Arabidopsis thaliana: one gene and its partner. The protein of the gene in region 1 interacts with the protein of each later gene in a biochemical or structural test. Each region holds a gene or a part of one and is shown on either strand. Other genes may lie near its edges.

What was found. Proteins that work in one complex are often made in the same cells at the same time.
Region 2: the proteins of SAE1A (region 1) and SCE1 form a complex in vitro, tested with the Arabidopsis thaliana proteins (one study listed by BioGRID).

Annotation. Positions count from the first base shown.
Region 1 is NC_003075.7:12,821,140-12,829,075, reverse strand, and holds SAE1A (SUMO-activating enzyme 1A), read right to left. Parts: upstream 5,581-7,936; 5' UTR 5,426-5,580; coding exon 5,343-5,425; intron 4,819-5,342; coding exon 4,767-4,818; intron 4,661-4,766; coding exon 4,465-4,660; intron 4,388-4,464; coding exon 4,308-4,387; intron 4,215-4,307; coding exon 4,098-4,214; intron 3,926-4,097; coding exon 3,875-3,925; intron 3,789-3,874; coding exon 3,722-3,788; intron 3,599-3,721; coding exon 3,495-3,598; intron 3,416-3,494; coding exon 3,311-3,415; intron 3,219-3,310; coding exon 3,105-3,218; 3' UTR 2,867-3,104; downstream 1-2,866. Other genes in the region: HVA22D (HVA22 homologue D), read right to left, coding at 57-120, 216-235, 388-694, 823-839; AT4G24950 (uncharacterized protein), read right to left, coding at 2,321-2,794; AT4G24930 (thylakoid lumenal 17.9 kDa protein, chloroplast), read left to right, coding at 6,687-6,955, 7,029-7,143, 7,203-7,272, 7,357-7,580. UniProt on the Arabidopsis thaliana protein: The dimeric enzyme acts as an E1 ligase for SUMO1 and SUMO2. It mediates ATP-dependent activation of SUMO proteins and formation of a thioester with a conserved cysteine residue on SAE2. Functionally redundant with its paralog SAE1B.
Region 2 is NC_003074.8:21,426,072-21,433,390, forward strand, and holds SCE1 (sumo conjugation enzyme 1), read right to left. Parts: upstream 4,328-7,319; 5' UTR 4,040-4,327; coding exon 3,971-4,039; intron 3,845-3,970; coding exon 3,761-3,844; intron 3,274-3,760; coding exon 3,121-3,273; intron 3,029-3,120; coding exon 2,915-3,028; intron 2,823-2,914; coding exon 2,760-2,822; 3' UTR 2,425-2,759; downstream 1-2,424. Other genes in the region: UVI4-LIKE (UV-B-insensitive 4-like protein), read left to right, coding at 662-1,006, 1,364-1,750; AT3G57880 (Calcium-dependent lipid-binding (CaLB domain) plant phosphoribosyltransferase family protein), read right to left, coding at 5,127-7,319. UniProt on the Arabidopsis thaliana protein: SUMO-conjugating enzyme that accepts the SUMO proteins from the E1 SUMO-activating heterodimer SAE1/SAE2 and catalyzes its covalent attachment to other proteins with the E3 SUMO ligases SIZ1 and MMS21.

The DNA of each region.
Region 1 (7,936 bases):
AAAAGTAGATTAGACAGGGACATGATGGGACCACCACCAAGACCATTACAATAATACTAGTCAGGCTTCTTCTGTCTGCTCCACCCTTCTGATTCAGTGACTGTGAGCCTCGTGTCCCTCCTATATCACATTTTAAAATTCACAATTAATTTAAAAACGAATTAAAGAATTAACAAAAGTATACAAAACACTTGTTATACGCTCATGGTCGCTACGTTAGAGAATTAGGCACACTCTTACGTTTCCTAGGACTATATTCAATGCATTATTAATCTTTATAAACAAAGATTCGTTCTTTGACCCACCAAAGAATACTAAAACTAATGGTTACTTTTACTTTTTTTTTTTGCTTTATGAATCTCAAAACCAAAAAGATAAAAAATTTACCCGGTGGGGGAAAATGGAGTGGAGGATGTTGGGCTTGGTGGGCTTGGAGTGGGTGGAGCGGAGGACGCCGTGTTTCTTGAACTGTTCTCTAACAACACGGTTGTAGATAAAAGCTGCGCCTTGAAACTGAGGAAGAACTAGCCAAGCCACGAACACAAGTTTCACCGTATACCAAATCGGAATCCACTCAATAAGCGATTGCAGAATCAGTTCCGTGAGTGAGAGGAACGAATATATTATCCAATACGCAAGCCACTGTTCATCGTCCACTTTTGTTGTGCTCTCCATTGCTATCACCGATGCGTACCTGTAATCAAAAACATAATTAGTAAATATTCACAGATTTTTGTTTTTAATCTTCAACAAAAAGTAGAGAGATCGAACCAGAAAGAAACTTTTTCTTTTGTTAAAGGGTTTAACAAGAGAGAAACTTACAATGGATAAAGTAACATCACGATAGGCCTGCATATACATTACCAACAAATCGATTACGGTTTGGATTAGAAATCGAAACAGAGGAAATCAAAAAGTAACTAATTTTGGAAACATAATGGAAGGAAAATTAAGATTAAGAATAATTACCCAGCGCCTGAATGAAGAGCAGTGAGGAAAGTCCAAAATTTGTCCATTGTTTTTCTTCCTTTGCAAGATTTTTGGAAATGTTTAGGGGCTCTGTGAAATAAGAGAGAAAGAGAGAGCGACAAGTCTGTGTAAATTTCGAGGCGAATCAATTTTATGTAGAAGAAGAAGACAAAGAAATGTGAAAGGAAGAACCTAATTTATAGAAGGAAGGTAAAGGTATCTAAGAGAGAAATGGTACGGTTTGCTACAGAAGTTGGTTGGTTCACACACTTTTCATTGGCTCTTATTGGTGGAATATCATAAATAATATTTTATTTTTATTTTTTTAATTAACGTCGTACTAGAACGCTGATGCCGACATACAACTAGTCCGGTCTGGTCTGTCTTTGGTCTGTCTGGTTCGATTGGGTTCGGTTAGTTTATCCCACACGTGGCGAGATTCTAAGCTTGAAGGCGTCGACATGGCACCGACCTTAAGAATAAAAAAGACAAGACGTCGGTCGGTGAGAGCTTATGTCATTTCTTTATTTCTTTATTAATCTTTTAAAGAGATACTTTTGTCATTTTATTAATCTTTTTGCTGATTATTATTTTACCTTCTTTGCAAAGTTCAAAATTTGTGATTAGTTTGATTAAGGGTGAAACTAATGGGTTTGATTTTCTCCCAAGTCACGTAAGCTTCGGAAAAAGTTATGACCCAATTACATTCTTTTGTTCCTTTGATAGTCTAATTATATATATTTTGAATCTTCTTAACAAGTAACTTCGTAAAACCCAACAAATAGTTGATTCAAGTAAAACATATGACTGATGGATTCAAAATGAAAGATATACTTGGAATTATGCTTTTTTTCTTTTGGGCAACAAAACACTGCAAATTCATAAAAATAGCTTCCAAAAATGAAAACCCAATAAAGATGTAACAATTGAATGTGTGGCCTTCTTTTGTTTGAGTCCATTTTCTATTTAAATGATTAGCATCTTTTTTTGCTCAACTAAATGATTAGCTTTAACCATACTAATTTTACACAAAACATATTTTCAACATTAGTGTCACCGATGCACCTAATCACCACCAATGTAGTTCTTTCCCCAAAAAAGTTTATGAATAGAAAAGATGTAGAGGGGTGTAGTTTTTGCTTCTTCATCCAATGATAGAGTATTATTTTGTAAGATTTTCCTAAAACCATAAATACATACATTACTTATACTGTTTTAACCAACATAGTTACAGCCAAAGTTGAAGAGGTTCAATGAATTAAAAGAGAAGGCGAGAGGTAATAATACAAAACTAAACTTTTTTTATTTATTGAGATTGATGAACATTCTCAAACCAAAATAAATAAAAATATCAAGTAGGAACCAAAGTAATGATTTGTGTATTCATGGAGAGATGATCAAAGTGGTTCATCAACACAACTAAAACCCATGACAAAAGCAGCACCATTGTAACAGAAACAAATCTTCTAATCGTTGTCTTCTTCTTTGCTTTCGTGGTATCACTCGAACTCGTCACATTCGAAGACCAACAAGATGAATGAGAAAGCAATGTCGTCTTCTTAGTTTGATCATCATCATCAGAGTCGTGAAAGAGTTTTCTCCTTAATGGCGATATTTCTTGTATCATCTCTGCCTTTGGTTTGTGTTGGAGAGAGAGCATTAGGTTTCTGGGAGAGTTTTCGACATACTCAAGAGCATCTTCCACGGTAATCCATGAAACCGCAGATGAGTTTTTACCTGTTTTCATGGCTGTCCATTCCTCCTCAAGCTCTCTCAACTTCTCCTTCAGATGTTCGTGTGAACTACTCTCCTCTCTTTCTTCCATTTTCATTTCTTACCATTTACTTTGCTATGAATTAAAATGAATGTGGTTTATATCACTGTGAGATCTCTCACTAATTACTTTTAAAAACTTAGCTAGTCTTTGAATTGAATTATAATATTTGAAATTTGAAATTGAACAATTCAAATGTCAATAACTGAAAATGATTTTACCGAAGGAAAATCACAACTGATCCTCCACTAAATTCTGCATTAAATTTGTTCATAATGTGAAGGCAAAAAACAAACGATTGAGATATACATGGAATCTCAGAGATTATAGAGTTTAAACTAAATCAAGGCCCACTGGTTGTTTAAGAGGTAAAAGAGTCGGAAATGTCTTCCATCACACCTTTCCCATCTTCACCATCATAGTAGAAGAAGTTTTTCAACGGGTCTCCTTTGCCTGATACTGCTTTGATCACCTCCTGCCACATCAAAAAATCTTTCTTGTCAAATTACAAGTTTCTAGTGAGAAGATTCGAATGCGATAAGAGAGTGAAAGTGAGAGAGAGAGAACCTGTGCTAATATTCCTCCCACAATGGCACAAACTGGCGGGAATTCAGTAGTACCAGTGATAAGTCTCTCCAAGAGAATATCTGGTATATGGCTCTCGCTCACAGACTGAGAGACAATATTCAGTTATTCAGTGAACCTGGCAGTGACATTTCTAAATAATGATAAAACAACTAAACACACTTACGTTTGCCTCACAGAGTTGCTTTTTGATTTCCAAGACTCTGGCAAGATCGAGTAGCGAACATTCTCCATGTTTACGCCCTTCACTCTCTTCAAACACTTCTATTACTGAAAATTTCATGAGAATGCCAAAGATTAGTGAAGAATTTTTGTTGTATGTATCTGCCTTGGGATCTCAATTTTCATTTGTGGAAAGTAATAAAGAAATCAGCTGTAGTAACTAGTAACTACCTCTCATAGCAAAGTAGAGCTTTGCTGTTCTCCGAGGAATCGGTTTCCATGGTACCGATATAGCTTCCTGTGGCAATAAACAAATCTAATTTATCACAAAATCCTATGCAGATGTAAGGATTATTAGTAGCGAGAACTAGTGTTAAATTGTACCTGAAAACTTGGAAAATTTAGTTCGCATTCCACCATCTCTTCAAGCTTTTTCTGTGGAAAGAAAATTATCAGGAAAACAATACAAAGGACATTGTGCAAATTAGAAGTTGTTAATGAAGTTTAAATGTTCAATGGAATTATAGAAATTTAAAAATAAGCCAGATGAAATGTCAAAACAGCACATAATCAACAGAAGAAATGCAACAACAAATCATGCAAGTACCTTTGTGTACTTGTAATCTTGGAGGTCCACAAAGATTTCACCACATGAGTCTCTACAATCGACTGTATAGAATGCGACACGTTTCTTTAACTTCCGACATTTTTCATTGACATATTTCTGCAAAAAATAAACAGACAACGTCATGAAGAGATGTATGGAGCAACTAAAGATGAAAGCAAGTGGTAAATATGTAAAAGGTGGTATAAATACTTTGGTAGCACGAGAACCATAGCCTATAACTACGACATCAAACTGCTCAAAAAAATCAGTGCCAAGCATTGACAAATCACCTGAAAGATTTGAAAAATTGATCAGATAATAGTCGGTATGTTTTTAAAACATTAACGGAGAGGTATTAGAGGGAAACCTTTCTCTACGGAAACACGGACCATAGGGTTGAAATCCTTGAGTGAATCACTACAAATCTCAGCCACAGTTTTGCCACTGTAAACATTTTCATCAGGCGGAATCAAAAAGTTAGCGTTCAAGGCCTCCATGTTTGCTAAACGATCATCCATTAAAGTCACTGAACCAACTCCTGCCAGCACAATGTTCTTGCAAAACTAACCCACCAAATGGAAACAAAGCCAGGAAATGCAGTAAGATACCATTAGATTAAACTAATTGAAAAGCATGACATCTCAGCATGAATTATAGAGTTACAGCTACCTCAGCAACAGTCCCCTTAATTCCAGATACCAAGATATGAGCTTTGGTCAATCTGCAAGGCAAAACACCAACCTCACACTATATCAAATCGTGCCAAGCTTACAGAGTAATTACATGGTAGTGTAGTGTATCAATAAAATAAGCTTCAGCAAAAAGCAAAATATGAATGAATACATCAATCTTAATAGTTAAAAAACAAAACTCTCATCTCAGAACAACCTAAGGGAGCTCATAATTAGGAATGCACTAGTCTAGAAGCAGAATCCAAACGCTAAACCAATAATAGGTATTAACTAAAATTCTCTTAAGACAAAGACAAACAAATAAAAACCAAAACTGAAGCCAAGAGAAAGTAATCGAATGGAGGAGAAGCAAAAAAAAATACAATTTTAATGATCTAAATCCGCATTTAAGAAGGGACCATTAAGCATTCTCCTAAAATGGCCAAATAGTAAGAGTTTAGTACTCAAAGCCGACTCAAATCATAATTGAGATGATGCAGCTTAAAAGCACTTAAATTTAGAAAAGTGAAAACAAGATTGAGTGTTGAAAAGAACAAGGGGATGAGAAAGTAACCTTCTCTGAGCATTAGCGCCCCAAACCCTAATCTGGCGGTCGTACAAGGCAGTCTCCTGCTCGGTAAGCTCTTCTCCGTCCATTCCCAAATTCAAGCTATCAATTCAACAAAGCTTTGCTCTAAGAAACTAGAATTTGCGTGTATAATTTTACTGGATTTATCTATGAAAACTGGAGCTTTCGATAAACCTAGTCCTCCCACTGGGTCGATTTTGGTCAACTCTCTCACAGTGTTTGCCAAAAAAGCAACGGAGGTTTCTATTTATTTTATTTCTAGTAAAATAGAAAAAGAAAAAATATAAATGGTATGTTTCGATCGCCGGTTGGATCCGGTCCGACCGCATATCAGTTGATTAATACAAAATTTAATACATAAATTATACAATAGTTTTACACAGTTTTCATATGTTCTACGGTCATAATTCATAAACCTAGTCTCCACTGAATCGATGTTTGGCAATAATCATAATTCATGAATTGATAAAAATATTTTTGAAATACTAAAAAAGCGTCGACGGTCAAATTGGTTTGAGTCTTTGCATGGCAACAATGTCGGATTGTCACCGGTGCTTTTGTAAGTCTTAACTTTGGTTTGATAAATCAAGTAAAAAAGTAGTATCTGTTTTGCAGGTTAAATACTGAAAATTTACAAGAGTTTTCACCTCTTTTGTTTGAGTAATCATCTATATCAAAATATTATGAAATAAGTAATATTATAAAAAGACATACCTGCGAAATCGTGAAAATAGAGTTTCCTTGTCCAATAAAATGTTGTTCATTCTCCTTTAGTCCTTTCTCTGCACAATTCTGCAAATGTTCAAACACTGGTGAATATAAAGAAACATATTTAATTCTCTCAAGACCATTGAACGTCTTATTTTCTATCGTTTCATTTGCCTCTCGCTCTCTTTAATTTAATTCGGTGGTAATTTTTCTAGTGGCATGAGTCAATAGTTTTTTGTTGGTTTAATGAAACATTCAATGAACATGTTACGTGTATCGGTGTATCATTAGTTACATTGAACTTTGCCGCTTGTAATTTACCATCGAATTTTTGTAATAGGATGATGAAAACTAGGTGAAACGCTATTGGTATTGGGTGAAACTCTATTTCTTGATAATTTTCTACCAATCTCATAGTGTTTTTATTGTGGTCAAACAAGAACACATCTCACATTTTATATCGGGACATTATGGAATTTGTAGTCAACTAAAATTTAAAAGTTCAAACATACAATAAAAAAAAAAAACAATTTTAATTAATTTTCATTTCAGTAAAGCGTTTTGAGACACTTATATATTAATAATATTTGGAGGAGAAGAGAGTAACCATAAACTACAAACATGAGTTTGGTCGCCAGTTTGCAACTCATCCTCCCGCCACGGCCGAGAAGCACCAAGTTGTTGTGCTCATTGCAAAGCCCAAAACAAGAACAAGAACTCTCTTCTACTTCTCCTCCAATCTCTCTTTTACCAAAACTAATCTCTTTTGCTCTTGCTATCTCTCTAACTTCCTTTTCCCCTGCCTTAGCCATTCCTTCTCTCTCCTCTTCTCAGCCACTCACCACTCCTTTCACCCAATCCAAGTTCGTCCAGACCGGTCTTCTCAATGGGTTTGTTCCTCTTCTCACTCTGATTTCTGCTCTCTAAACAAAGCTAATCTTTATTACTCTCTTTTTTTTGTAGCAAAATTAGGCCTTGCCCTTCCACGAACCCAGGATGTGTATCGACGAATCCAACCTCATCTTCCTTCTCTTTTCCATTGACGATCCCAGAAACCGATACACAGGATCCCATTGAGGTATATTTCCTCCTATCTTCATCAATTTAGCATCGTTTCTGATTATTTGTTCAACGCAGAAACTGAAAGAAGCAATAATGAGCACCCAGAAGAACCCCAAGTTTGTGGTTCTTGAAGATACTCCCTATGGTAAATTATTTCTCACCACAATTGGATTTTTAAATGATTCCCACCAAGGATTTGAGGAAAGATCACACACAATTGCATTTGCAGGGAGGTATGTGGAGGCAGAGGTAGAAGGAGGAGGATTTAGCAGAGATGTGATGGAGTTTTTGGTGAAGCAAGATGTGGTTGCTTACAGGTGTATGGCCACTAAGGTTACCTTTGTGTATCCTTTCACCACTGCTTTTGGAGACTCCAAGGGACAAGAAGAGAGGTTGAAGAAGCTCATCGATCAGCTTGGTTGGTATGCTCCTACCTTTGAATCTATGGAATAAATTGCAAGTAATGTATATTTTGTTCATCACTTTCCAACTTACTACTACTTGAGACATTAATATGAGTTTGTGTTTGTCCTTTGAGAACCAAAGAAAGCTATACAACTTTTTCAATTGAGGAGCTAGGTGATGTGTGTTACAATTTCCAAATGTTATATTGTACCAATGTCAAGGGAGAGGAGTGTATTCAACCACATCTTTTAGAATTAATGATTTTGTGTTAAAAGGACAAATTCTATGTATACAATCCATGAATGTTAAAAGTCCAATGATATCTGGTATTCTTGGTTATAGATGTACACGTCTCTCAAGGTTATTCTGGTGTACTTGATCTTGACTTGTCTTTTAAATGGTTA
Region 2 (7,319 bases), on another chromosome or scaffold:
TAGGCTTTGATCACAGACAAACTTTACTCGGTTATTTGCATTAGGTTTTACAAGGGTAAAAATGTAATCTCAGAGACAAGGAGACGATTTTTTTAAGCGTTGATCCCGCCTGTGATGCAAAATTTGAAATTTGTTTCGCACACGTGTGAGAGAGCCTTCTACCGCACGTGCCAGTGCCTTCGGATTTGTTTCCTCATTATAATCCCGCTCAGGAGGCGACCTTGAAATATTGCCCAGATCGTCACTCTCCCCAAGAAAGCTCTCTTCTCTCTCTCACTCTCTCTCTCTCATTGTCTCTCTACACAGTTTTGGAGTTTATCAATAGCTTTATTGAAGATTCAAAGGTAAACACAAATCCATGGTGTTTCTTCTTCTATTTGATTGCGTTTATAGACGTTAGGGTGGGGTTTACCGGTGTTCTTGTGACTCGATTTGAAATTGGAATCGGGTGATTTGTGATTTCATTTTGGGATTGTTTGTGATAACCTTTGGTTGTGTTCTCCGTTTCTTGATATATTATTCTGGAAATTTTGGGGTTGATTTTTAAGGAGAAATGAACGATTTGATTTCTGGGTAAAACCCTAGGGTTTCTTCATTCAGTTTTGATGTTTCAGTCTCTAATTGAATCTATGTTGTTGTTTGTTTCAGCGACGTTATCAAAATGCCAGAAGCAAGAGATCGAACCGAGAGGCCTGTGGATTACTCGACTATATTTGCCAACCGACGGAGACATGGTATTTTACTTGACGAGCCAGATTCACGGCTTAGTTTGATTGAATCTCCGGTGAATCCAGATATTGGGTCTATTGGTGGAACGGGCGGGCTTGTGAGAGGCAATTTCACTACATGGAGGCCTGGTAATGGCAGAGGTGGTCACACTCCATTTAGATTGCCACAGGGAAGAGAGAATATGCCCATAGTGACCGCTAGGCGTGGAAGAGGTGGTGGTTTGTTGCCTTCTTGGTATCCAAGAACACCTCTACGCGACATAACTCATATTGTGCGGGTAAATTGACAAGCTCTTTTGTGTTTTCCTGTTGATTCTTCTTTGTATAATCAGTTTTGGTCTGGCATGGGTTTTGCTTTGCAGCTTGGTTAAATGTTTGGGATCTCTCTTGTTTGTGGTGTAGCACATGGAAAATGGTTTCTCTGAGTCTAAGTTTCCCCATTGGTTTTTGTAATCCTTCTTTTGAGCTGAATTAGGAATCTGCTACTGATAGGTTTGGTTTGTTAAAGCGTTTCTGTTTATTATTGATCATAGCAGGCTTGCTTAGCCTATCTGTATAAGTTTTATCACATAGATTTGTTGCCTTAAGGCTTGCTTAGCCTGGCGATTTATTCTGTTGACACTCTTGAACTACAGGCTATTGAGAGAAGAAGAGGAGCTGGGACTGGAGGAGACGATGGCCGAGTTATTGAGATCCCAACTCATCGACAAGTTGGTGTTCTTGAATCTCCAGTACCACTGTCAGGAGAACACAAATGCTCGATGGTCACTCCTGGACCATCTGTGGGATTCAAGCGTAGTTGCCCACCATCAACTGCTAAAGTTCAAAAGATGTTACTTGACATCACTAAAGAGATAGCTGAGGAAGAAGCTGGCTTCATCACACCCGAGAAGAAGCTACTCAATTCTATTGACAAAGTTGAGAAAATTGTGATGGCGGAGATCCAGAAGTTGAAGAGCACTCCTCAAGCTAAAAGGGAAGAGCGGGAGAAGAGGGTGCGGACTTTAATGACTATGCGATGATCTTTACTTAGGAGAAGAGACCAGATGCGATGATCCTTACTTAGGAGAAGAGACCATAGAGGTATATCTGCTTAAAGGTTCCTGCACAGTGAGTACATCATCTTCTTATGATATCATAGATGGATCTACAGGTCATCCTCTAATGACATATCTTCACAAGTTCGGTGGTTTCTTAGACTTGTATCATTTTCTGATGATTTTATTAGAAGCGTCAATCATCTTTTGACGATTTTATAGGATACTCGTTTTGGAAAATCATTGTTCTGATGATAGAATAGATCAGGAATCATCTGCTGATGATGATATCATAGGAAAGATTATAATAGTTCACACATTTCATATCTGAAGTGTCATCACTTGTAGACGATTTTGGCTTGTTGTTGACTTTCAATAATTGAGTTGTATATAAGTATTGAATGTTTGGTTTTATTGCTTTGTAACTGTTGACATACGGTGTTTGCCTATCTCTTTCTGCACACTTGATTTCGTAGCTAAATTCCAAGTTCTGTTAAATATTCCAAGCTTTCTATCTCAATCATTGACAAAAAATGTTCCAAGTAGCAAACAATTTACTAACAAGCACTAATACTACTTCAAAAGTCTAAAATCAGTGGAGTATAAATTTTAGAGGAGTAAGATTTTGACTTTCAAGTGTTAAGCGTAGTTTCAAGTTAGAAATATATGTATTTCTAGATTCACAACTAAGATTCGTTACTCTATGGAATGAAGACTTCATATTTCACTTAGTAGAATTTGGACAACACTCATGAACGACCAGAGAACATAATTATGTATTATATAGAAGCAACACCAACTGAATCAGTACCAAGAATATTAACAGTTAAATAGAGAAAGAAGAGTTTTTTTTCGAAAATAAATAGATTCCAGTGTCTTAAGGTGCCAAAATGAGGAGTTTTCAATCACCCAATGACATCTAAACATAATGACACAAGACGAGAAAATATTCAGAGCTTGTCATCAGTTTTGGTGCGTTCTCTTTTTTGAGGTTTTAGACAAGAGCAGGATACTGCTTGGACTGCAGCTTCACCCTTTTCTTGTACTCAACTGGATCCTGCACAATAATCATCAACAATCACTCGACTTAGTTCCTTCCTATGTTTCAAAACCTAATATTGTGTTTAGAGTTTTCATTTCTAAATGTACCTGACAGAAGAGATGATAACCATCTGTCTGTGCAGGGTCAGCGGGATTCGGTGTGTCAAGTAAATCCTGAATACCAACAAGAATCTGCTTCACGGTGATGGCTGGTCTCCATCCCTATGGATATACACATAACAAAAGAGAGCTTGAGGATAAAGCTGGCTTTTGCTCATGGAGAAATGCAAAGAAAGAAACAGTAGAGTACTTACATAATCCTCGTTAAGGATAGAGAGACAGACAGTTCCAGATGGATAGACATTAGGGTGGAAAAACCCTTGTGGAAATTTACATTTCGGAGGTTTGCTCGGATAATCCTCACTGAAGTGCATCGTTAATGGAAAGAATCCACCTTCCCAATCAGTCTGCAGCAGAGAAACATGTAAAATTAGCTATAAACAACAGTAAAGATTGATATTAGCAATTGCTCTTGCAGTAACACTCTTATTAGCCATGTCAAAGTAAGATACACAGCAGAGTTCAGTTTCAATGTCGTATTCAAGACCAAAATCATATGCACCAATAAAAAAACATCATACAAGATAAACAAGGAGATAGATACACAGCTACTCTTCCCACTAACATTCATATTAGATAATCTTCCACGGCTCTATGTGTAAGCAAATATGAGAGAATCATCAAACAGAATCACAAAGAAAAAGAAGGGAAGAGACTGGTGAAGCTTAAAACTTTGAAGAACTAAGAATCAGAAGATGATAAAAACAAAGACTTTAGCCCAAATCAATAAACCCTAATTTCAATCTCTTTTTTGTTGCTACTAATACAAACCAGAAGAAAACAAGCAGAGGAATAAGAAAACTGAAGAAACCTAATTTCACGATTGATACTTACCCCAGCTTTACCAGGTATAGTGCAATGCCACACCATTAGATTCACAGTTCCATCCTGCCCCGTCTCCGGCTTTGCCACAAAACCCTAAATTTCACCATCAACAAGAAGAAACCCAATCAGTAATCAGAGACCATGAACAATCAACAGAAACCCAAAACCCATAAATCAAAATCACGAATTTGGAGAAATAGAAGACACGAAATCACTTACATGAGGATGATTCTTCCTCCACGATTTCCTCTCTTCAGCTAAACGACCACGAGCGATTCCACTAGCCATATCTCTCTCTCTCTCTCTCTTTAGAATCTCACTCTACAATATCTAAATCTCTCTCTTCTGATTTGTCTCGCTCGCTCTCCAATCTCTATCTCTCTATATATAAACTCGAAGAAGACACAAATAGGAGATTGGGGGAAGATGGAATGTGAAGTTACAGATGTACCCCTATGTTAAAGCTTTAGAAGGGTAATCGGAGTATCGTACGGTCCAGATTTCGCGGCGAATAAATGTCCTTTCGTCCTACTTCCTCCACTTTAATGGTTATTGACCGGTCAATTATTAAATTTTAACCAGGTATAATTATTATCTACTATATCATAAAATAAATGAAAAGACGTAATGAAAAAGTCAATGGATAAATGTGGCGTGAAACCTACGCGATGATACCCAAAAAAGCTACCAAAAGATTCTTTCTCTGCCATAACGTATCATCCCATTTGTCACGTGGCCCATTACCATATCTGGGCCCATTTACTTTGTGTTCTTAACTCTTAAGCTTGCTTTAATTATTCCCCTCTTCTTCTTAATGGTTGGTCTTTCTAGAATAAAAGTATCTCACCTGGCAAACATTTGTCAAACAGAATGGTCGGAAAAAAAATAAAATATCAAAGCTTTCAATGAATTTTTGTGTAAGAATGTTATTTAGCGAACATATATTCCCAATATGATAGTTTTTTTGGTTATAACCAACTTTGGATGTATTAGAAAAATGGTTTTTTCTTGAAACTTGTATTTGACCATTAGACCAAACTGTGACAACCTCTAATCTCAACAGCAACCAACCCAATGGCACCAAACTCCTAAAGCTCCAGTGATAAAACACAAAAACCAGAGAGGCATAGATTATGACTTACTAACCAGTGACAAGAACATCAAAACCACACAAGATACTTCTTTACTACTTTCAAACAAAAGTCTTAATAATGTTAAAAGACAGACGGATACATCATCACCATCACCAAGAAAAGAGTCATCATGACATTTTTAACAATGAACAAACTAAAAAGAGTCATCATGATATTTTTAACAAGAACAAACTACAAGTCTTATAGAAGTTTTCTTCGGTATTGGAAGCAGTTTTTGCAGGTCAGAGCATGCAATCAGTTCTTGCAGGAAGCCTTCTGAAGAAATTGAGAGGAACGGATGGTAGTTTGTATCTGAACCTCGGATGTCTCAGAGCATAGATTCCAATACAAAGAGCCACAACCTGGAAAGGTGTCACATAGAGAATGACTGCGGCAATCAAGCAGAACAAGACGAAGAGCGCTGTTGCACGCGGATCACGCCAGCTTAGCAGAGACTGAAGCCTTTCTCCTTGAGTTGCTAGATCACCTACCACTGTCTGAATCCTACCAGCAATACTCCTCAACCTGTCATACCTCATCCTGACTATGTCAGATGGTCGGGAAGTAGGAAAAGTGTCGAACTCTTCATCTAGCTCGTCGGGGTGGGCTGAGTCAGCGTGAGAGAGACGTGTGTCCATGTGAGGAGGATGCCTCGGTCTCCAACGGTAGTACCAGATACCGATGAGGAAGAGGTAGAGGAAGATGGTGGGCAAGATTAGTTCGGGATAGAGCACAAGGATGATGAACAAGAGATGGATCAAGACTGTTGTGATTGGATTCTTCCAGTTGCAGATTTGTTCAAACCATTTTCCTACTGCGATTAACCCACTCAAAACTCCCATAATCCTGAAAAAGTTTGCTTTGCTTCTCCGCATACTCCACATGTGAGAACCCACATCAAGCATATACTCAACTACTTCTTTCCTTAGAGGTGGTTCTGCTCGGGTCAGCCTCATCGATACAATCTGAGTCGCTTGATGCCTCAAGTTATCAAGCTGGCTAACCGTCAGTGGATGGATATAATGCATCTTCGGTAAGAGAGGCTGTGAGTACATATACATCATGTTGAGCAATGAAGAGCAAGTGAATCTCACAGCTAAGTGAATTTCTCCCATTTTCTTGACTCCGTTAGGATGGAGCACCAAAAGAGGGTATGAATGTGTATAAACTCGATCAGTCTCGAGAGTAGAAAGCCTGATTCTTACCTTCCCGATTCTTGAATCTTTTGCTCCTCCAATCTTCTCACCTCCATGGAGATGGCAGTTATCAAAAACTCCAACAGTAACAACGGTGCACGGATCAAAAACCTCCCAAGTATATTGCTCATTCCATCTTGGTGTAAAGCTGTCAATGATTGTCCGAGTTCGAATCCATTTCTGTCCGTACTTCGCCACACAATATGCATCTGTGGTTCCCCGGCCGTCTTTGGTTTTCATAGGCATCAGACCTGTAGCATTCAGTATCCCCAACTCCAGTACACCGATATTAGGCTTCCATAGTTGCTTCGCTGTTGGTCTAAGATCACTGCTGTAATGCGTAGACTCATCGAGAACGTGATACCCTCCTTCCAAACATATTCTCATGTGAATCCTGCTAGCGAATTTGGTCTCCTTCTTCTCTCCATCGACCATAATATGCTTCTCGAGATTGTACCACCTGCTGTTCACCGGTTTATGGTCAAATCTTCTGTCCAAATACTGCAACGGGATCGCACATCTCCCCAAGACTTCATCTTTGTTTGGAGCAACTCTATCTTCCACGCTGAGGATCAAAGGTTCCTCAAATGGCTCTGCTGCGACAAACATCAAATCCTCATTCCACATGGGATTAATAGTCCTGCTCTGCGATACTCTAGTCCTCAACGCCTGGTTTCCCACTATAGCCTTCACATAAACCTCGGGATATCTTTGCTTATCAGTTGGTATCAAATCTTGAGCTTCAATTACATTAACCCTGAGGTACCAAAGCTTAGGAGAAAGATAAACCTTGGAACGGATGTTGGCAAGAGCATCAGTACCACTAACAGTTGCAGCATCAGAGTGCCAAGCTTCAGGGAAAGCTTCATCAGCTTGAGTACCAAACCAAACAGCCAACATAAGCTCTCCCTTGACTTTATCACCTTTCCTATCCTCGAGCCTATACCATTGCGGAGCCAAGGGACTATCAGGAGGAACTCTCTTAGGTACCTCATTCAAATCAAAGACAACCCGACCAATCAAATCATCTTTGACAAAATCCTTGTCCTTGACAGTAGCTTCAAGGAAAGAAGCTTGAATCCTATCTTTAGAAAAGGCGAAAACTTGGTTCCACTCAGGATTAGATTTCTTCTCGAAATGCCTAGTGGTGCCTTTGTAGTTTCCAAGCTTAACCTCAACATAAGGGTCACAACTACCAGTCATATCCTTGCCAGGTAACTCCTTTGCCTTAACCACACG